Linked DNA regions of Lonchura striata. The protein of the gene in region 1 purifies or fractionates together with the protein of each later gene. This does not show direct contact. Links are inferred from orthologs where the notes say so. Each region holds a gene or a part of one and is shown in the gene's direction. Other genes may lie near its edges.

Evidence for each region. The genes of interacting proteins can lie anywhere in the genome.
Region 2: the proteins of RNA-binding protein FUS-like (region 1) and EFTUD2 purify together in Homo sapiens (affinity purification with mass spectrometry; 3 studies listed by BioGRID and IntAct, with this or other methods). This does not show direct contact. The link is inferred for Lonchura striata from reciprocal best matches to the Homo sapiens genes FUS and EFTUD2.
Region 3: the proteins of RNA-binding protein FUS-like (region 1) and SF3A3 purify together in Homo sapiens (affinity purification with mass spectrometry; 3 studies listed by BioGRID and IntAct, with this or other methods). This does not show direct contact. The link is inferred for Lonchura striata from reciprocal best matches to the Homo sapiens genes FUS and SF3A3.

Annotation. Positions count from the first base shown.
Region 1 is NC_134637.1:542,502-549,460, reverse strand, and holds the start of RNA-binding protein FUS-like, read left to right. Parts: upstream 1-3,943; coding exon 3,944-4,145; intron 4,146-6,959. Other genes in the region: uncharacterized protein LOC144247894, read left to right, coding at 3,392-3,701. UniProt on the Homo sapiens protein: DNA/RNA-binding protein that plays a role in various cellular processes such as transcription regulation, RNA splicing, RNA transport, DNA repair and damage response. Binds to ssRNA containing the consensus sequence 5'-AGGUAA-3'.
Region 2 is NC_134627.1:2,895,428-2,902,701, forward strand, and holds the start of EFTUD2 (116 kDa U5 small nuclear ribonucleoprotein component), read left to right. Parts: upstream 1-4,257; 5' UTR 4,258-4,343; intron 4,344-4,723; 5' UTR 4,724-4,724; coding exon 4,725-4,829; intron 4,830-5,429; coding exon 5,430-5,595; intron 5,596-6,013; coding exon 6,014-6,092; intron 6,093-7,274. Other genes in the region: DNAAF19 (dynein axonemal assembly factor 19), read right to left, coding at 520-969, 2,405-2,537, 3,429-3,589. UniProt on the Homo sapiens protein: Required for pre-mRNA splicing as component of the spliceosome, including pre-catalytic, catalytic and post-catalytic spliceosomal complexes. Component of the U5 snRNP and the U4/U6-U5 tri-snRNP complex, a building block of the spliceosome.
Region 3 is NC_134628.1:4,815,451-4,822,823, reverse strand, and holds the start of SF3A3 (splicing factor 3A subunit 3), read left to right. Parts: upstream 1-4,356; 5' UTR 4,357-4,418; coding exon 4,419-4,514; intron 4,515-4,587; coding exon 4,588-4,635; intron 4,636-4,874; coding exon 4,875-4,927; intron 4,928-5,438; coding exon 5,439-5,544; intron 5,545-5,950; coding exon 5,951-6,023; intron 6,024-6,382; coding exon 6,383-6,474; intron 6,475-6,599; coding exon 6,600-6,682; intron 6,683-7,039; coding exon 7,040-7,178; intron 7,179-7,373. UniProt on the Homo sapiens protein: Component of the 17S U2 SnRNP complex of the spliceosome, a large ribonucleoprotein complex that removes introns from transcribed pre-mRNAs.

The DNA of each region.
Region 1 (6,959 bases):
AGCTCCTCCTACCCCGGCTATTCCCAGCCCCCTTCAGCTGCCTCGGCCTCTGGAAGGTGATTAATTAACTAATTAATCCTTAATTAGCACTAATTAATTGTTATTGTTAATTAAAACCCCAAACCAGTAACACAAACCCCACACCAGTAACTCCAAAGCTCCTCCTGCCCTGGGTATTCCCAGCCCCCTGCGGCTGCCTCGGCCTCTGGAGGGTGATTAATGCACTAATTAATCCTTAATTAGCACTAATTAATTGTTATTGTTAATACCCCAAAGCACTAACACAAACCCCAACCCCTGAAATTCCCGTTTTTTCCCCTCCAAATTCCCACATTTTTCCCCCACGTGCCCACATTTTACCCTCTAATTCATGTCTTCTAAACCCAAAATTCCGATTTCCCTTCCTGGAGATCCCCATTTTTCCCAAAATCCCCCCTTTTCACCCCAAAATCCCCATTTTCCCTTTCCAAACTCCCCTTTTTTGAGCCCCTTTTCCCTCAAAAATCCCATTTCTCCCCCAGAAACCCCCATTTTCTCCCCGCAAACCTCCCATTTTTCCCTTTGCAAACCCCCATTTTTCTCAAAATTCCCCCTTTTCACCCCAAATTTCCCATTTTCCCTTCCAAAACTCCAATATTTTCACCCCAAAATCCCCATTTTCCCTTTCCAAGCTCCCATTTTTCACGCCCCAAATTCCTGTGTTTTCCCCCAAACCTCCCATTTTTCCCCCTCAAAACCCCCATTTTCCCCCTCAAAATCCCCGTTTTTCCCCAAATCCCCTTTTTTCACCCCAAAATTCCCCCTTTTTTCACCCCAAAATCCATATTTTCCCCTTTCCAAACTCCCATTTTTAACACCCCAGATTTCCGCGTCATCCCTCAAAAATCCCATTTCTCCCCCCAAAACCCCCATTTCCCCCCTCAACCCCCATTTCCCCCCTCAACCCCCATTTCTCCCCCTCAACCCCCCGTTTTTTCCCAAAATCCCCTTTTTTCACCCCAAAACTCCAATTTTTTTCACCTCAAAATCCCCATTTTCCCATTTCCAAACTCCCCTTTTAAAAGCCCCTTTTCCCACAAAAATCCCATTTCCCCCCCTCAAACCCCCCATTTTTCCCCCCCGAAACTCCCATTTTTTCCCTCAAACCCCCGTTTTTTCCCAAAATCCCCTTTTTTCACCTCAAAATCCCCATTTTCCCCTTTCCAAACTCCCACTTTTCACACCCCAAATTTCCTCATCTTCCCTCAAACCCCCCATTTCCCCCCTCAAAACCCCCATTCCCCCCTCAAACCCCCCATTTCCCCTTTCAAACCCCCCATTTTTTCCCTCAAAACCCTCATTTTTTCCCAAAATCCCCGTTTCTCACCCCAAAATCCCCATTTTCCCCTTTCCAAAGTCCCATTTTCCTGCCTCTTCCCTCAAACCCCCCATTTCCCTCCTCAAACCTCCCATTTCCCCCCCAAAACCTCCCATTTCCCCCCTCAAACCCCCATTTCCGCCCCCTCAAACCCCCCATTTTTTCCCTCAAAACCCCCATTTTTTCCCAAAATCCCCTTTTTCACCCCAAAATCCCCATTTTCCCTTTCCAAAGTCCCATTTTAAAAGCCCCTTTTCCCACAAAAATCCCATTCCCCCCCTCAAACCCCCATTCCCCCCCCTCAAAACCCCCATATTTCCCCTCAAAACCCCCATTTCCCCCCCTCAAGCCTCCCATTTTTCCCCCCGAAACTCCCATTTTCCCCCCTCAAAATCTCCATTTTTTCCCTCAAAGCCCCATTTTTTCCGAAAATCCCCTTTTTCCACACCAAAATTCCCCCGTTTCTCACCCCAAAATCCCCATTTCCCCTTTCCAAGCTCCCACTTTTCACACCCCAAATTTCCGCCTCTTCCCTCAAACCTCCCATTTTCCCCCCCACAAACCTCCCATTTTTCCCCCCCCAAACCCCCATTTCCCCCTTTCAAACCCCCCATTTTTTCCCTCAAAACCCCCATTTTTTCCCAAAATCCCCTTTTTCACCCCAAAATCCCCATTTTCCCTTTCCAAACTCCCCTTTTAAAAGCCCCTTTTCCCACAAACCTCCCATTTCTCCCCCTCAAACCTCCCATTTCCCCCCCAACCCCCCCATTTTTTCCCCTCAAAACCCCCATTTCTCCCCCCTCAACCCCCATTTTTCCCCAAAATCCCCTTTTTTCACCCCAAAATCCCCATTTTCCCCTTTCCAAAGTCCCATTTTCCTGCCTCTTCCCTCAAACTTCCCATTTCCCTCCCTCAAAACCCCCATTTCCCCCCCCAAACTCCCCATATGTCCCCTCAAAACCCCTATTTCCCCCTGAAACCCCCATTTCTCCCCCTCAACCCCCTGTTTTTTCCCAAAATCCCCTTTTTTCACCCCAAAACTCCAATTTTTTTCACCCCAAAATCCCCATTTTCCCTTTCCAAACTCCCCTTTTAAAAGCCCCTTTTCCCACAAAAATCCCATTTCCCCCCTCAAAACCCCCATTTCCCCCCCAAACCCCCCATTTTTCCCCTCAACCCCCATTTTCCCCCTCAAAACCCCCATTTCTCCCCCCTCAACCCCCATTTTTTTCCCAAAATCCCCGTTTCTCACCCCAAAACCCCCATTTCCCCTTTCCAAGCTCCCACTTTTCACACCCCAAATTTCCACCTCTTCCCTCAAACCTCCCATCTCCCCCCCTCAAACCCCCCATTTCCCCCCTCAAACCCCCCATTTTTTCTCTCAAAACCCCCATTTTTTCCCAAAATCCCCGTTTCTCACCCCAAAATCCCCATTTTCCCCTTTCCAAAGTCCCATTTTTTCACATCTTCCCTCAAACCTCCCATTTCCCCCCCTCAAACCTCCCATTTCCCCCCCCAAACTCCCCATATGTCCCCTCAAAACCCCTATTTCCCCCTCAGCCCCCATTTCTCCCCCTCAACCCCCTGTTTTTTCCCAAAATCCCCTTTTTTCACCCCAAAACTCCAATTTTTTTCACCTCAAAATCCCCATTTTCCCCTTTCCAAACTCCCATTTTTCACACCCCAAATTTCCGCCTCTTCCCTCAAACCTCTCATTTTTCCCCCCCAAACCTCCCATTTCCCCCCCCTCAAACCCCCATTTTTCTCTCTGAAACTCCCATTCCCCCCTCAAACCCCCCATTTTTTCCCTCAAAACCCCCATTTTTTCCCAAAATCCCCTTTTTTCACCCCAAAATCCCCATTTTCCCCTTTCCAAAGTCCCATTTTTCCGCCTCTTCCCTCAAACCCCCATTCCCCCCTCAAACCCCCATCCCCCCCCCAAACCCCCATCCCCCCCCCCCCAAACCCCCCACATTCCCCCTCAAACCCCCATTTTTTCCCAAAATCCCCATTTTTCACCCCATTTCTCCGCAGCTACGGCGGCGGCTCGGGCGGCTCCGGCTACGGGCCGGGCGCGGCGGGCGGCGCCTACGCGCAGCAGCCGCAGCCGCAGCCGCAGCCGCAGCCCAGCGGCGCCTACGGCCAGCAGGGCTACGGCCAGCAGGGCTCCTACAACCCGCCCCCGGGCTACGGGCAGCAGGGACACTACGGAGCCGCCTCCTGTGAGTCGCAGTCCCAAAAAAAACGGGAATTTTGGGGCGAAATACGCGGATTTCGGGAAAAATCGGGAGCGGAAACGGTGAAAAAATGGGTTAAAATGGAGCGATTTGGGGTGGAATTCTGAGGCTTCACGTGGGATCAGGTTTTCTGTATTGCACACTGTTACATTTAGGGATTTTAGTGGAATTCCCAAAAAATTTCCAAAAAAATTGGGAATTTTGGGGCGAAATATGAGGAATTTGGGAAAAATCGGGAGCGGAAACGGCGAAATCCGGAGCGAAATCGGCACAATTGGGGAATTCCAGGGTTTGGGATAGAAACAATGGTCCTACAACTGGTTCCAAATTATATCCAGGGATCTGAGTCATGTTCCCAAAAAAAATCGGGAATTTTGGGGTGAAATCCGCAGATTTTGGGCAAAATGGGCTGAAGTTTGGGAGGATTTGGGGTGGGATCAGGTTCCCAAACCCCCCGAGCGGCGCCTACGGGCAGCAGAGCTACGGGCAGCAGGGCTCCTACAACCCGCCCCCGGGCTACGGGCAGCAGGGACACTACGGAGCCGCCTCCTGTGAGTCGCATTCCCAAAAAAAACGGGAATTTTGGGGCGAAATACGAGGATTTTGGGAAAAATCGGGAGCGGAAACGGCGAAATCCAGAGCGAAATCGGCTGATTTTTGGCTGAAATGGGAGGGATTTGGGGTGGAATTCTGAGGCTTCACGTGGGGTCAGGTTTTCTGCATTCCACACTAAGTTATATTCAGGGATTTTAGTGGAATTCCTAAAAAAAATCGGGAATTTTGGGGTGAAATACGCGGAATTTGGGAAAAATCGGGAGCGAAAACGGCGAAATCCGGAGCGAAATCGGCTGATTTTTGGCTGAGATAGGAGGGATTTTGGGGTGGGAATTGGTTTTTCTCCAACTGGTTCCAAATTATATTTACGGATTTTAATGAAATTCCCAAAAAATTCCCCAAAAAATCGGGAATTTTGGGGTGAAATATGAGGATTTTGGGAAAAATCGGGAGCGAAAATGGCGAAAAAATGGGTTAAAATGGAGCGATTTGGGGTGGAATTCTGAGGGTTCACGTGGGATCAGGTTTTCTGCATTCCACACTAAGTTATATCCAGGGATTTTAGTGAAATTCCCAAAAAAATCAGGAATTTTGGGGTGAAATATGAGGAATTTGGGAAAAATCGGGAGCAAAAACGGCGAAATCCGGAGCGAAATCGGCTGATTTTTGGCTGAGATAGGAGGGATTTTGGGGTGGGAATTGGTTTTTCTCCAACTGGTTCCAAATTATATTTACGGATTTTAATGAAATTCCCAAAAAATTCCCCAAAAAATCGGGAATTTTGGGGTGAAATCCGCAGATTTTGGGCAAAATGGGCTGAAGTTTGGGGGGATTTGGGAGGATTTGGGGTGGGATCAGGTTCCCAAACCCCCCGAGCGGCGGCTACGGCCAGCAGGGACACTACGGAGCCGCCTCCTGTGAGTCGCACTCCCAAAAAAAACGGGAATTTTGGGGCGAAATATGAGGATTTTGGGAAAAATCGGGAGCGAAAACGGCGAAATCCGGAGCGAAATCGGCTGATTTTTGGCTGAGATAGGAGGGATTTGGGGTGGAATTCTGAGGCTTCACGTGGGGTCAGGTTTTCTGCATTCCACACTAAGTTATATTCAGGGATTTTAGTGGAATTCCCAAAAAAATCGGGAATTTTGGGGCGAAATACACGGATTTTGGGAAAAATCGGGAGTGAAAACGGTGAAATCCAAAGCGAAATCGGCTGATTTTTGGCTGAGATAGGAGGGATTTGGGGTGGAATTTTGGGATTTGGGGTGGGAACAGTTTTCCTACAACTGGTTCCAAACAATATTTAGGGATCTGAGTCACATTCCCAAAAAAAATCGGGAATTTTGGGGCGAAATATGCGGATTTTGGGCAAAATCGGGAGCGAAAAGTACGAAATCGGAACTGAAATCGGCACAAATGGGGGAATTCCAGGGTTTGGGATAGAAACAATGGTCCTACAACTGGTTCCAAATTATATCCAGGGATCTGAGTCACGTTCCCAAAAAAAATCGGGAATTTTGGGGCGAAATCCGCAGATTTTGGGCAAAATGGGCTGAAGTTTGGGAGGATTTGGGGTGGGATCAGGTTCCCAAACCCCCCGAGCGGCGGCTACGGCCAGCAGGGACACTACGGAGCCGCCTCCTGTGAGTCGCATTCCCAAAAAAATCGGGAATTTTGGGGCGAAATATGAGGAATTTGGGAAAAATCGGGAGCGAAAACGGCGAAATCCGGAGCGAAATCGGCTGATTTTTGGCTGAGATTTTCGGCGTTTGGGGTGGAATTCTGAGGCTTCACGTAGGATCAGGTTTTCTGCATTCCACACTAAGTTATATTCAGGGATTTTAGTGAAATTCCCAAAAAAATGGGGAATTTTGGGGTGAAATATGCGGATTTTGGGAAAAATCGGGAGCGGAAACGGCGAAATCCGGAGCGAAATCGGCTGATTTTGGGCTGAGATAGGAGGGATTTTGGGGTGGGAATTGGTTTTTCTCCAACTGGTTCCAAATTATATTTACGGATTTTAATGAAATTCCCAAAAAATTCCCCAAAAAATCGGGAATTTTGGGGCGAAATCCGCAGATTTTGGGCAAAATGGGCTGAAGTTTGGGGGGATTTGGGAGGATTTGGGGTGGGATCAGGTTCCCAAACCCCCCGAGCGGCGGCTACGGGCAGCAGGGACACTACGGAGCCGCCTCCTGTGAGTCGCACTCCCAAAAAAAACGGGAATTTTGGGGCGAAATACGCGGATTTTGGGAAAAATCGGGAGCGGAAACGGCGAAATCCGGAGCGAAATCGGCTGATTTTTGGCTGAGATAAGGAGGGATTTGGGGTGGAATTCTGAGGCTTCACGTGGGATCAGGTTTTCTGCATTCCACACTAAGTTATATCAAGAGATTTTAGTGGAATTCCCAAAAAATTTCCAAAAGAATTGGGAATTTTGGGGTGAAATATGCGGATTTTGGGAAAAATTGGGAGTGAAAACGGCGAAATCCGGACCAAAATTGGCTGATTTTTGGCTGAAATAGGAGGGATTTTGGGGTGGAATTCTGAGATTTTAGATGGGATCAGTTTTTCTGCATTCCACACTAAGTTATATTCAGGGATTTTAGTGGAATTCCTAAAAAAAATCGGGAATTTTGGGGCGAAATATGAGGATTTTGGGAAAAATCGGGAGCGGAAACGGTGAAAAAATCGGTTAAAATGGAGCGATTTGGGGTGGAATTCTGAGGCTTCACATAGGATCAGGTTTTCTGTATTGCACACTGTTACATTTAGGGATTTTAGCGGAATTCCCAAAAAATTTCCAAAAA
Region 2 (7,274 bases), on another chromosome or scaffold:
TCTGGGTTTTATCACTAGTGGGTGTGTGATACCACTAAAGCCAGATGGAGATCTTTCACCACAGTCCTCTCCTCATTTTACTGTTACCTTTTCATATGCAGACCTCAGACCAGAAGCTTCAAGAAGTGCCTTGACTCTTCCCATTCTCATGAGAAAGGAGGTTATAATGTTTTCCCTAGATCACCCAGAAAAGCAGAACAGAAGTGTAACCACAAGAGGAGAAACACAATTATTGTTCTTCAGACAACAAGTACTATGTGAAGAGGCTGTTTTAAGAGTTTTAAGGATTTCTCCTTCAAAACTACCACCCTGTTTTCTTTCCCTTGGTTTTCTCCTCATCCAAGAGACTCTGCCACACCCATCTGTGAGGACACCCTGCTCAGAGATCACAGCACCACAGCCTGGGAGCTAAACTTTATTGTGCAGAACTTGTGCCCTGGGGGGTGCCAAAGTCAAGCTTTGAGTTTTTTCTGAGCCTTTTTTACCCTGTTTCTGCTCAATCCTGGTGCTCCTGCTCCCTCAGCTGACCTGGTAACACTTCATCAGCTCCACTACTGTCCTCTCCTCCTCAGTTTCCAGGGGAAAGGCTTCCCTCCCTGCCTCACAGCTGGCCAGGCAGCTGGGCTGGCCAGCAGCCTGGCAATCCCTGCTCTGCAGCTTCCTGAACAAATCCTGGCTGCTCTCCTTCTCCGCCTGGCTCAGGAGAGCCACGTTCAGCCCGAAGCGCTTGGTGCCCGCCAGGCTCTGCAGGACCTGAAGGACGGCAGCTCTGTCTCCAGGATGGATGTTCTCTGCCAGCACTGTCAGGAATTCCCCCAGGAGGCCAAAGCCCACATCAGCCTGGAAGATCCTGCCCAAGGCCTCCCCTCCGAGCTCCAGCAAGAACTGGTATTTCTCTGTCCCACTTTTCAAGCATCTGCGCCAATCTCGGTGAAATTCTGCAGCAGTGCCAGGCAGCTGATCCAGCTCCTGGAGGAGAAAGGAGACACTCAGGTCCTTTTGTTTTGTTCCCACCTGAAGACTTTGAGCCCTTTGATGGACAGCTGAGATGTTTTTACCAGGGGCTTTGGCAGCACAAGGAGCTGCTGAGGGGGAAAAGGGGAAAACAAGGAAACGGCAGGTGCCTTTAACCCCGAGAAACCAGGGAACTCCAGGGGAAAAGGGACGTGTGGATGAGGTGTGACACCCAGGGTGAGCACAGATGGCTGTGGAGTGGCCCCAGCCCCAGCCAGAGTCAGACTCTGCCCAGCCTGGATCCAGCAGCACTGCCTGGGAAGGGATCTCAGAGAGATCAGGGCAGGAAACACTCTGAGCACACAGAGGAAAAACCAGGGGGTGGCAGAGCAAAGGTGGGAGATGCAAACCACAGAAAATGTCCAGATGCCCTTTCTGGTACCACCTGGCTTTGGTGGGTGTCTGCCAGAGCAGAGGCTAAGAGCTGAGCTCCAAGTGGCATTCCCAGGTAGAGGAAATCCCATTTTATACCAGCTCCAATGAACTGCTGAGCCCAGCCCTGCTGGGTCACCAACACACAGGCTGGAGGAGGAGGGAAATGTGCAGCTTTTCTACAGCCAGGGAACAAAGCAAAGTGACACCAGCTGGGGCTGAGCACAGGTGGAGAAGCTCCGGAGATCTGAGCCTGGTGCTGATGGAACCAGGAGCAGGATTTGCTTGGGGAGATCACTGCTCAGTCCAAGCAAACACAGAACTACTCAGGAGAGTTGCAAAAGATCTTACAATAAACACAGGTCAATGAAACCCAGCATCATAAACAATCCTCGAGATTGTTTATAAGGCAATCCATGAAATTGCCTTATCATGGGAAACATCCAGTGACCAGGACACTCCAGCATGGACAGAGCCCACAGCAGGGGCAGGAGGTGACTCCAATCACAAATGGCTTGGACAGAAAATGTCCTGTCCCTGTTTCCCACTGCTGAGGGACCCAGTGAGCTGATCAGGCTTGGGCAGGATTAACCCAAGCCAGTTCTTTTCCATGATCATTAAACCACGGGCAATTCCCTGTGCTCAGGAACCTCTGCAGCCAGAGGCTGTCCCAGGGAGGATCCTGGTGCAGGCCTGGCCCTGGGTCAGGCTGCAGCTGCTGGGAGCAGCTCCCAGCCAGGGACAGCTCCCACGGACTGTTCCTGTCCCAGCACGGGGGCACTGGGAGCTCTGGGGCCAGGCTGTGCAGCCAGGCCTCCATTCCCACAGGGATGGAGCAGACTCTCCCTGAAGAGGCCCAGCCTGACCCCATGTTGACCCAAATTCTGATATTCAAGGGGCTGGAGCGTTGGCTCACACCCAGAGTGAATCCTGAGTAACTCCTGCATTCCAATTAACACCCAGATGATTCCTGAGTCATTCCCAGCTGTGGATGAGGCCCCAGCAGCCTCTCCCTCACCTGTGGGATCTCCACAGCGTGGGCAGGTGCTGCCTGGGCTGGGGCTGCACAGGGATTCCACAGCACATTCCTCCTCTGTCCCAGCCTGTCCTCCTTCTCCAGAGGCTTCAGGTGAGAAGCCAGCACAATCTCCCTAAAGGGAACAGAGACAGGAGGGACACATGGCAAGAGAAAACACTTTGAGGCTTCAAGCTGCTCCCCTGAGCCAATTTCTGACTTTGGGCTGTGTGGATCACCTATAGGGGCTGGACAGGCTGGAGGAGCGGGCCCTGACTAATACAAGGATAAACCACCTTAAAATCCCTGGGGAATCCCATCAAGATACTTGGGGAGAAGCCACTTGAAAGTGTTTTCCTGCTCCTCGGGGATCAGGTGGCAGGGGGGAATGAGACAGACATGAATCCATGAATGGAATTTGAGCTGGTCCCAGAATGCCTCCCAAGTGTGGTCAAAGCCCTGGATCTACCTTTGGATCCTGGATGGAGATGGACAGGGAGCCCCCAGAGGGATCCACGGGAAACCCAGGAGTTTGGGGGGCACTGGGAGTGCCTAACACTGCCCCGTGGAGCCGCCCTGCCATCCCAGCCTGCTCACAAGCCCCGGCCACAGCAGTGACACTCCAGGGAGCAGGGACAGGCTGGGAAGGGCACAGGGGACACGTCACCCTCTGCTCCTGCTCTGCCAGCACAGCCTGGGGCTGTGGGGCTGGGCTGGGAACGGGAAAAGGTGACATTGTCCTGGGGAGGGGACAGTGCCACTCCACTGCTGGCTACAGCTGGGCCACCACAGGGGTCAGGCACGGAGCAGAGACAGATCTCAGCCCACACGGGGCCACCTGAGGAGCTCTGGGCCAAGTCTCAACCACGGCCGGGTGGGCTCTGCCCCGGGGCTGTTCAGGGCACCCCGGGGCCGCTGCCCTCGGGTCCCTCGGGGCAGCCTCAGACCCTCAGAGCTGAGCTCAGACCCGGGGGGAGCGCCCAGCCGAGCTCCCGGCCCCTCCCGGGCCGCTCCCCGAGCCCCGGACCTGAACTGGTCGTAGTCGGGGACGCCCTGGCGGAGCGCCCGCAGCTTGGCCTCGCCCTCCCGCTGCCGCCGCTCGTCCTCCGCCAGCGCCGCCCGCAGCTCCCGCTCCAGCGCCGGGAACGCTCCGGCCGGATCCATCCCGGGCTCCATCCCCGGCTCCATCCCGGGCCGCGGGCAGGCACCTGCGGGACGTGCGGACAGGGACAGCCCTGCCTGCGGTGGCTTCGAGGACACACTTCTGTCACAACAGCGCTGCCGGGACTGGCCCGACAGCCCCGATCCTATCGCGACAGTCCTGCCTTGTGAGCCCCAAGGCCGCGCACGGGGATGGCCACTGGGAAGCGCTCCCCTGCCCGAAACTCCCCAGGCCCTGACACACCGCCGGCCCCGGGGCCCCTTGCTGTGTCGCGACAGCCCCGCGGGTGACGAACACCTCAGCCCAGGGCTGCTCTCTATCGCGACAGCCCCGCGGGTGACGAACACCTCAGCCCACGGCCGCGGTCTATCGCGACAGCCCCGCGGGTGACGAACACCTCAGCCCAGGGCCGCTCTCTATCGCGACAGCGCCGCGGGTGACGAACACCTCAGCCCACGGCCGCGCTCTATCGCGACAGCGCCGCTCCCGCCGCCAGAGCGCCGGGGCCACGCAAGGTCCCCGGGGCTGCCCCGGCCGCGCCTGACAGGACCGGCCCCGCCGCCCCGCGCGGCCCCGCTCGCCCCGCGGCCCTCGGGATGCTCCGGAACCGGTCCCGACCCGGTCCCGACCCCGCTCCGGACTCAGCCGGCGCTCCTCGGAGGGGCGCGGCGCTGGCGACGGGCGCGGAACGCTCTGTGGCGACAGGCGGCGAGGGCGGCCCGGGGCCCTTCGGCAGCGGCGGCGCCGGCGAGAGCAGCGGCGGGAGCGGAGCCGGGGCAGGTGAGGGAGAGCGGGACCGGGAACGGGACTGGGAATGGGAATGGGACCGGGAACGGGACTGGGACCGGGGCCGGTGAGGGAGAGCGGGAACGGGGCCGGGGCCGGGGCCGGTGAGGGACAGCGGGACCGGGACCGGGAACGGGACTGGGACCGGTGAGGGAGAGCGGGACCGGGAACGGGACTGGGACCGGGACCGGGAGTGGGACCGGGGCCGGTGAGGGAGAGCGGGACCGGGGCCGGGACTGGGACCGGTGAGGGTGAGGGAGAGCGGGACCGGGACCGGGCCGAGGCTGCGGACAGGGCCGGGGCTCCGTGCCCTGAGGCGGTTCTGTCACGGCCCGCAGTCCCTGCGCCCCCACCGATCCTCTCCCGCCCCCCAGCATGGACACCGACCTGTACGACGAGTTTGGGAACTACATCGGGCCCGAGCTGGACTCGGACGATGACGACGACGAGCTGGGCCGAGAGGCCAAAGACCTGGACGAGGTGAGGCGGGGCAAAGAGCCCCGGGGCCGGCGGGGTTCGTCCTGCCCGGAGCCGGAGCGGGGACGGGCCCGGGCTGCTGCCGCCCCGTGTGACTCTGGGCTCTGCTCAGTGCCCGAGGGTCGGAGTGTGCCGGTGTTTAAAGGATTACAAAAGCTGTTCCTGCAGAAAGGGAGATGCAGAGTCCTTGCTGGGAGCTCCCGGGCCGGGCTGTGCTCGGCTGGTTTGGTGTCGGGCGGGGTCCGTGTCCGGCGGGAGGGAGCCGAGGCTGCCGCGGGGAGCCGCATCCTGGTGGGGAGAGGCAGAGCAAGACCCCACGGACACGGGGGGAGCAGAGGGGCGGGGAGCCCCTTCCCATGGCCTGTGGGGTGGGTTGTGTTACCGGGTGTGATTCTTGTGCTGTGTGGGGTCGCTGCCTGGGCTGGTGTCCCTGCAAGGCCAGGGGCTGTTCCTGATCCTGTGCTGTGGGCAGAGCCATGCTGCTCCTCCAGGAGCTGCTCCCAGGGCACCTCTGGGGCTGCACTGGGGTCCCTGGCTCGGGGTGACCCCAGGCCTGTCCCCTTGGGGGGCCCCACAGCCGCTCAGGGCGAGCTTTGGTTGCAGCTGGAGGATGATGACGATGACGATGACATGGGGGAGCACGATGAGGAGCACCCCGGGATGGAGGTGGTGCTGCACGAGGACAAGAAGTACTACCCCACGGCAGAGGAGGTCTATGGGCCTGAGGTGGAGACCATTGTGCAGGAGGAGGACACGCAGCCACTCACCGGTGAGTGGGGAGGAGGTGGCGGGAGGAGAAGGCTCTTAATGGATCCTTGGAAAGGGAAATAATCTTCCCTTCTCTCCTGCCCCGTTGGAGCCCCCTCCTAGCCTCAGGAGCTCTGCCTGTTGTGTGCAGATTTGGGCACTTGTGGTTTTTGCAAACCCAAAGGTACCTTGGAAGAACAGGAATCAGCAGAGATGGGAAAGCTGTGTAAGGGAGAAGTAAATGCAGTTAAGTGATCTCCTTTACCGGAATGGCTCAGCTGGAAGGGCCCTGCAGTGGCCATCTCCTGCAGCCTTGACAAACAGCTGGGAGAATCTGTCAGCCACAAAATTGAGGGGTTGTCAGCTGAAGTCCCCATTCCAGGGGCCATTCCTGGTTCAGGGGCTCTGGGAACAGTCTGTTGTTGTGTCTCTTGTTTCAGAGCCCATTATCAAACCTGTGAAAACCAAGAAGTTCTCCCTGATGGAGCAGACGCTGCCGGTCACTGTCTACGAGATGGAGTGAGTGTGGGGCTGGGGAGGCACATCTGGGCTCTGGCTTGGTGTCCCACTGACCTGAGAGCAGCCAGTTCCCAGGTTCTGAACCCAAAACAAGAGGAAGTGCAGGACAAACTGTTTCACAGACATTTTCCCTCCCCACCAGCAGCACAGGGTAGGGTTGCACACAAAAGGGGCTAATATCAAGCTCCATAGCAACAGCTTGTGGCTCAGGAAACCTTCTTGGAATGGTTTGGGTCGCAAGGGACCTTAAAACCCATCCCTGCCATGGGCAGGGACACCTTCCACTATCCCAGCTTGCTCCAAGCTCCAATGTCCAGCCTTGGCCTTGGATACTTCCAGGATGGAGCAGCCACAGCTGCTCTGCCCAACCTGTTAAATATCCACACAGTCAGTGTGTAGCACACATCATACTGGGACATTTTGGGTTGATCCCACTCTCAGATTAGGTCAGATTAGGTCCCATCTGTTCCAGTTTCCATTGGGAATTTTTGTGCTGCTGGCTGAGTGCAGAGTGCTGTGTCAGTCAGCAGTTGTGCTGTGCTTGTGGCCCAAAGCAGCTTCTTGGACACCAGGGCTGGGAGAAAACTTGGAAAAAATTCCAAATGCATTTAAAATTGGAGATGTCATATGTCAAAGGAGTTTTCTGTGGAATAAAAAGCATCCTTGGCTTTTTCTGGTAGAAATGTAGTGTTGGTCTGTGCATTGTGGTGGGCAGGGTCCATGGCCCTGTACATGCAGTGTGTGTGCGTGTTGTCTCTCTTTGGGATGAGCAGCTGGAGCTGTGGGGGTCTCCTTGGGCTCCTCTCTCCACTCACCACTTCATGGCCTGTCAGGGCTTTTCCCAGTTTGAATTCTCCTCTCCAGGTCCCAGAAGCAGGTGTGGCTGAGCAGCAGTTCCCTGGTGTTGAGCAGTGCCTCTGCCTGGTACCCAGCAGTGTTTTCCAGAGGGGACAGGAGTTCCTGGAGCTGCTGTTCACTCAGGGGTCCCTCAGCTGCCCGGGGCTGTGCTCGGTGCCTGGGGGGTTCAGCAGAGCTGGAGCAGAGCCCAGGAGCTGCTGGGGCTGTTTTTTCTCAGCCCTTGCTTTGGCTCAGTCCCTGACCTGGGCTCTGCATTATCCACCACTTCCCTGATCCTTGTGTGCTCTGCTCATTCCATTTGTAATTAATTCATTTTTCTCCTAT
Region 3 (7,373 bases), on another chromosome or scaffold:
GCCCTAACTGCAAAATCGGGTGTCTGAGCCATCCCAGACTCAAATGAGGCCTTGTGCAATCCTTGCCCAATGGATGAGCTGGCCCTGGGCTAAGGCCTCTCCCAGTGGGATGCCTGCCTCGTCTCTAAATCCTTCTGCTTCTGTCTCGCTGGGATACTTTTGCCAACCCTGCTTTCCTGCTTAGTCAGCCACATGCTTTACTGAAAACCTGTTCTTGTGGGTTTTTTTCCCTTTTGTACTCATCTTTCATGAATATCCATCATTTTGTACACAACTACAGGATAAAGGGGCTAGCCCCCCACCCGGGCTTCACTTAGAAACATAAAATGTTATGCATGTTGAAGTGTTACTACTCTGCATTCAGATCCTTCTTAAATCCTTGTTTGGAAGTTTTGATGACAGCAAATCAGAGTTTGTGTGTTTGCTATTATGAGAGGAGCTTGGAGCCATTTCCAGAAGGAATTGTCCTAAACCTCAGCGTCCTCTGTATTTCCTACAGCTTTATACAATAAACCATTTTCGTGACACTTTCTCTTCTGTGTCTCTTGAACAGCAGGCACAGGGCAGAATGCTGAGTGGGTGCTGGGCTCTGCTCAGCCTTGCCTCACCCCTGATCCCATTCTGGGGACGGGCAACCTCTGCAGTGCTTGTGCCTGCCTTCCCAAACCACAGCCCAGGACCAGCCGTGCCGGCCCTGTGATTGTGGCCACAGCGTCTCCCTCCTCCTGCTGCGTGGCTGCAGTGGCTTCCAGGGGCTGGGGGTGTCCATCTGTCTGTCCTTGCTGTCTTTGCAGGCTGGCTGTGGGACTGTTGGGATGGCTGTGGTACCAAGCCAACCCTGCTGCAGAGCAGCCTCCTGCCCTGCAGTGTGCACTGCCTGCCCATGCCACAGCATTCCAAGGGGACTCCTGGGGTAGCTGCAGCCTCCAGCCAGGATATCCACGGTCCCTCTTGGCAGCCTTCCCTGAAGTGCTGCATGCTCTGTACTCATGTTTATCAGCCAGGGAGCCATGTGTTCCCTAACATATGAAACTATTTTCCACAGATCCTTTACATTTACCAACAGCTGCTGTGACTTGCTCTGGACTTGCCTGCTCCAGCCCTCTCAGCACAGTGGCTAGGCTCCCATGGGTGCTGCTGTGGTGGCAGGCTGGGCACAGCCCACGGGGTGCCTCTGCAGGACCATGGCACTGGTGTGTGCACATTCCTGGCCGCTTCAAAGGCTCTGCTCTGCTGGCTGATGGAATTCTAGCACGATTTTTGTTGCTCTTGCTGCCCTGTGACCTGGGCTGGGCTCTGGTGCTGTGCTGGCCCTTGGAGGGTGAGTGAATAGCTCCAGCCCAGAGGTTCCCAGCTGAGCCTGTCCTCCAGCAGCAGCAGCTCCAGCCGGGCTTTCTGCAGTGCTGTTTCCAGGGATTAACCGCAAAAGGTTTCTATACAAGGGGCCCCCAGGCTCTTCTTTCAGTCAGCCTCCAGAGCCTCACGTTTTTAGCCAAAAAAGGAAATGACCCAGCTGCACGTAGCACTGAAACATCTGGATTTTATCCCTGTCATGAATGGGTCATGGCTGTACATGGCCCAGTGCCTGATTTACAGGAGGGGGAGGGTGATGTCATGCACAAACATCCCCCGAGACTCTGGAGTGTGGGTCTGAAACAGTCATGGAAATTTTATTAGGCACAAGGAGTGGTGTGAGGGGGGTCAAGCCAGGGCTGTTGTGCTGGTGAGGTGGGATGGGGGAAGCTGCTGAGGACATGGGGCAGCACTGCAGGGGTAGAAAGAGACCCTGGCACTGACCAAATCTGCCCAAGCTATGCCCTCCTGCACCACTGTGGATCAGGGGCAGCGTTTGCAGCCCCAATGGGCAGAGCCAGGTACAAGCCACTGCCTGGGGAGTCCTGTGCAGGGCCAGGAGTTGGACTTTGATGATCCTCATGGGTTCAGGATATTCTGTGATTCTCTGCATTTCAGCTCCCAGTCCCTGAAATGAAATAGCATCTCTTAGTCCAGCTTTCTCCCAATTCCTCCCATGTGCACTGCCACCTGTGGGCTGAGGAGGAGGGTGGTCATGCAAGGGCTGGTCTTGTCCCACCTTGATCCTCCTGATGCCAGCAGTCCAAAATAAGAAGGCCATGTGGCTGGAGAGGGCACTGCTGGATTTCAACTTCTTCCCTTTCCAGAGTGAAGGTTCATGCAAAGAGAAATGGAAGAACACTAAGCTCAGAATCATATCTCTGTTTTTATTTTTAGGCAGGCATTCATGAAGAAAAGTGATGTAATTTGCCTATAATGCAAGGGAGTAATTAAAGACAGTATTCTTACCTGCAGCATCATCCTATCCTCATTGAAGGATCATCTTTGGCTGCCATTAAGACAATTTTTTTTCTTGCTTTTGGCTGAGAGTAATTTATTGCACATGGCAGAAAAATATTAATGATTTATTAATATACAGTGAGTCAAAATGTAATCACAGCTTTGCATTTGGCAGTGTTGGGGCAAGGCACCCTTGGATTTAGGGGGGATCTGAAGAAGGCAGTTGAAACCCACATGGGGCTGAAAGCAAAGTCTGTGCTGCTGGGCACTGAGGCACCGGCCGTGGGGAGCCAGCACGGCACGGCCTGGCTGGGCACTGGACAGCGCTGCTGTGGCCGGGCAACCCCGGGAGGCTCCAGGCTGGGGCAGCCCTAAATCCAAACCGGCACCTCGGGCCACTCAGTGCCACCAAGCACCGTGCTCGGACATGGCCCTGTGCTCGGACACTGTGCTTGGACACCGTGCTCGGACACGGCCCTGTGCTCGGACAGTGCGCTCGGACACCGTGCTCAGACACGGCCCTGTGCTCGGACAGTGCGCTCGGACACTGCGCTTGGACACCGTGCTCGGACATGGCCCTGTGCTCGGACACTGCGCTTGGACACCGTGCTCGGACACGGCCCTGTGCTCGGACAGTGCGCTCGGACACCGTGCTTGGACACGGCCCTCTGCTCAGACACTGTGCTTTGACACCATGGCTCGGACACGGCCCTGCGCTCGGACACTGCGCTCGGACACTGTGCTCGGACACTGTGCTCGGACACTGCGCTTGGACACTGCGCTTGGACACGGCCCCGTGCTTGGACACTGTACTCGGACACTGTGCTCAGACATGGCCCTGTGCTCGAACACTGTACTCAGACACCGTGCTCGGACACGGCCCTGTGCTCGGACACTGTGCTTGGACACTGTGCTCGGACACGGCCCTGTGCTCGGACACTGTACTCGGACACTGTGCTTGGACACTGCGCTTGGACACCGTGCTCGGACAGGGCCCTGTGCTCAGACACTGTGCTTTGACACCATGGCTCGGACACGGCCCTGCGCTCGGACACTGCGCTCGGACACTGTGCTTGGACACTGTGCTCGGACACTGCGCTTGGACACTGCGCTTGGACACTGTGCTCGGACAGTGCGCTCGGACACCGTGCTTGGACACGGCCCTGTGCTCGGACACTGTGCTTGGACACTGTGCTCGGACACGGCCCTGTGCTCGGACACTGTGCTTGGACACTGTGCTCAGACACGGCCCTGTGCTCGGACAGTGCGCTCGGACACCGTGCTCGGACACGGCCCTGTGCTCGGACACTGTGCTTGGACACTGTACTCGGACACTGCGCTCGGACACCGTGCTCGGACATGGCCCTGTGCTCGGACACTGCGCTTGGACACAGCCCTGCAGCTCGGACACCGTGCTCGGACACGGCCCCGTGCTTGGACACTGCACTTGGACACCGTGCTCGGACACGGCCCTGTGCTCGGACACTGTACTCGGACACTGTGCTCGGACACGGCCCTGCTCTCGGACACTGCGCTCGGACACGGCCCTGTGCTCGGACACTGTACCCAGACACTGTGCTTGGCCACAGCCCTGCGGCTCGGACACCGCACTCCGATACGGTTCTGCCACTCGGACACTGTACTCGGACGCTGTACTCAGACACGGCCCTGCCGCACGGACACGGCCCCACACTCGCATACTTCGTTCAGACACGGTCCGTGCTTGGACACCGCGCTCGGACACGGCCCGCGCTGAGGGGCACGGCCCGCGCTGAGGGGCACGGCCCGCGCTGAGGGGCACGGCCCGGCCGCTCGAACAGTGTACTCGGGCACGGCCCCGCTCTCAGACACCGCTGTCGGACACCGGCCCCCTCTCAGACACTGTACTCGGGCACGGCCCCGCTGTCAGACACCGCTGTCGGACACATCCCCGCTGTCAGACACCGCTGTCGGACACAAACCCGCGGTCACACACCGCGCTCGGGCACGGCCGCAGCCGCCTCCTGCCGGCCGCGCCGCGGCCCCGCGCAGCGCCCCGGAACCGGAACCTCCCCACACAGCGGGGCCTCGCCGCGGCCTGCCGGCGGCTGCGAGCCGAGCGCGGCATGGAGACGATCCTGGAGCAGCAGCGGCGCTACCATGAGGAGCGGGAGCGCCTCATGGACGTGATGGTGAAGGAGATGCTCACCAAGAAGTCCACGGTGCGCCCGGGGCCTTGTGGGGGGTGCGGGAGGCTCCCCCGGGCCCGCGCTCACCGCTCTGCTCTGCCCGCAGCTCCGCGACCAGATCAACTCGGACCACCGCACCCGGGCCATGCAGGACGTGAGTGCTGCGGGCGGGAGCGGGGCTGGGCCGGGCCGGGCCGGGCGGCTCCCCGGGGCCGCCGGGGCCCGTCCCGGTGACGGGCTCGGTGACGGGCTCGGTGACGGGCTCGGTGATGGGCTCGGTGACGGGCTCGGTGACGGGCTCGGTGACGGGCTCGATGATGGGCTCGATAACGGGCTCGATAACGGGCTCGGTGACGGGCTCGGCGCCACTCGGGCCGCTCCTTTGTTCCGCAGAGGTACATGGAAGTGAGCGGCAACCTGCGGGACCTGTACGACGACAAGGACGGGTGAGTGTGCCCGGGGCCCTCGTGTGTCGGAGCGTGCCGGGCTGCTGGATCCAGTGTGTCTAAAGACTGACACGGGAATGGAGAGGTGGCGGCCGAGTGCAGGGCAGGACGCGAGTGCACCCAGGAGCATCCGTGTAGGATGGGCAGGTTTTGTTGTGTTGTGTCGTGGGGAGGCCCTGCCTGCTCCCGGGGTTTGTCAGGGGCTGCAGCCTGTGTGGGCTGTGACCATGAGAGCCTGGTGGGCTGGGAGGTCCCCATGACTTAAAGGTTTGCAGTCTAGACACTGCAGCACAGCCCTGGACTAAGGTTGTGTCAGTGTCATCCTTCCCTTCCCTTCCCTTCCCTTCCCTTATTCCCTTATTCCCTTATTCCCTTATTCCCTTCCTTTCCCTTTCCTTCCCTTATTCCCTTCTTCCCTTCCCCCCTTCCCTTCTTCCCTTCCTTTCCCTTCCTTTCCTTTGCTCCCTTATTCCCTTCCCTTCCTAATCTCTTGCTGTCTGTGAACTCATAGCCTGCGTAAGGAAGAACTCAGTGCCATTTCCGGGCCAAATGAATTTGCAGAGTTTTACAACAGACTGAAGCAAATTAAGGAATTTCACCGGAAGCACCCAAATGAGGTGAGTAGTTACCTGGTCCATAGGAAGAGGTGTGCTGTGCTCTGTTGGGTCTCATCCCTAAAGGAAACAGAGGTTTTGTTTCCCCAGTTTTATTGCTTTAACACACAAGTACTGAGAACACACAGCACAGATGCTCAGGGTCAGGCAGCATGTCAGGGAGCAGTGCAGGATGCTCACCCTGTTCCCTGCTAGAACAGGGATGTTCAGCTGAGCTGGGATCAGATCTCACCTTTCTTGTGCTGGCTAAAGCCACACTTTTGCCTTTGTGCAGAAAGAAAGGTGACAAAGCTTTGAGTCTCTTTTCTGTTTGCAATTTCATTATTTGCCACCTTGCATGATTTTATAGTAGTTATTCTGGGACAGGAGCTGAAGTAAATCGCTCTGTGCCTTGTATCTGCCTTTGCAGATCTGTGTTCCTATGTCAGTGGAGTTTGAGGAGCTGCTGAAGGCCAAAGACAACCCGAGTGAAGAAGCTCAGAGTAAGTTTGTAGTTTGCTCAAGCTCTGGCATTATTTAATAGGCTGTTTGATCTGGTTTGCGTGTTTCAGGGCCTCACCTCCCTTTTACTAAATGACTTCTGAAAATTCTCCTGTCATCTAAATGGTTCTGAACTGGAGTCCCTGGAACAGTCCCCAGTGAGGCTGCTGTTCCTGAGGAATGTTCTGGTGCTTGCACAGAGCAGCAGTTGGGGCTGCTCAATGAGTGTCAGAGACATTGTAGCACCTTCCTTAAGCATAAATGACTTTGCAGCTGATCCTTTTCCAGTTCAAAAAGAGTTGTATAATACAAGTAGGGAATATTAAGTTCATAATAAAGCTTTTCATGATCTTTCCTACAGATCTGGTGGAGTTCACAGATGAGGAAGGGTATGGCCGATACTTGGATTTGCATGATTGTTATCTCAAGTACATCAACCTGAAATCATCAGAGGTGAGTGTCTGCTGTGTGTGGGCCCAGGGATCTCCAGGCCCTGCCCGGGCTGAGGCTTGTCTTTTCTAGGAACTGGTTGTTAATCTGGCCTTGTATGAGCTCTGACTCGGACTTTCTGTTCTTAGAAATTGGATTATATCACTTACTTATCCACATTTGACCAACTCTTCGATATTCCCAAGGAGAGGAAAAATGCTGAATATAAGAGGTAAGCTTGTTTGCCTGCCTGTTTCCTTTATGGTGAGAAGGAATTTGCTTCTGAAGTGTCCAGCTGCAGAGATTGTAATTAACAGCCAAACTTAACTCACATAAATCATGTCCCTGAGCTCAGTCATGTGTCTGAGCCCCAATCAAACTTGCAGTGCAGCAGAGATGTGGAAAGACACATTCAGCTCAGAGGAAGAGCTTTAATGTACCATTGGACCTGTAATGGCAAAAAAATCTGTGGAAAACTGGCCATGCCTTGGTCACGTTCCTCTGCAGCACTGGAGGGTAGTGACTGTCCAAAGATGTGGTTAGAGGGTGACAGTGAATTACCTGTGCTCATGATTCCCCTGTATTCCAGGTATCTTGAAATGCTCCTTGAGTACCTGCAGGATTACACAGATCGAGTGAAGCCATTACTGGACCAGAATGAACTTTTTGGGAAAATTCAGACGGAGTTTGAGAAGAAGTGGGAGAACGGCACGTTCCCAGGCTGGCCGGTGAGCAGCCTGAGCTGGGTGATCTTCCTGCGTTTGGGAGGGGTTTGTGTGAGTCATTTGTGTAAAGTCATTGCTGGAGGTGACCATGACAGTGAGGGCTGCAGCTCTGTGTCACCAGGGTGCAGGGTGATACCAACCTGAATTTAAAACCCAGCATACCTGGTTTAAAATGAGCATTGTTTCAGGTTGGCTTAT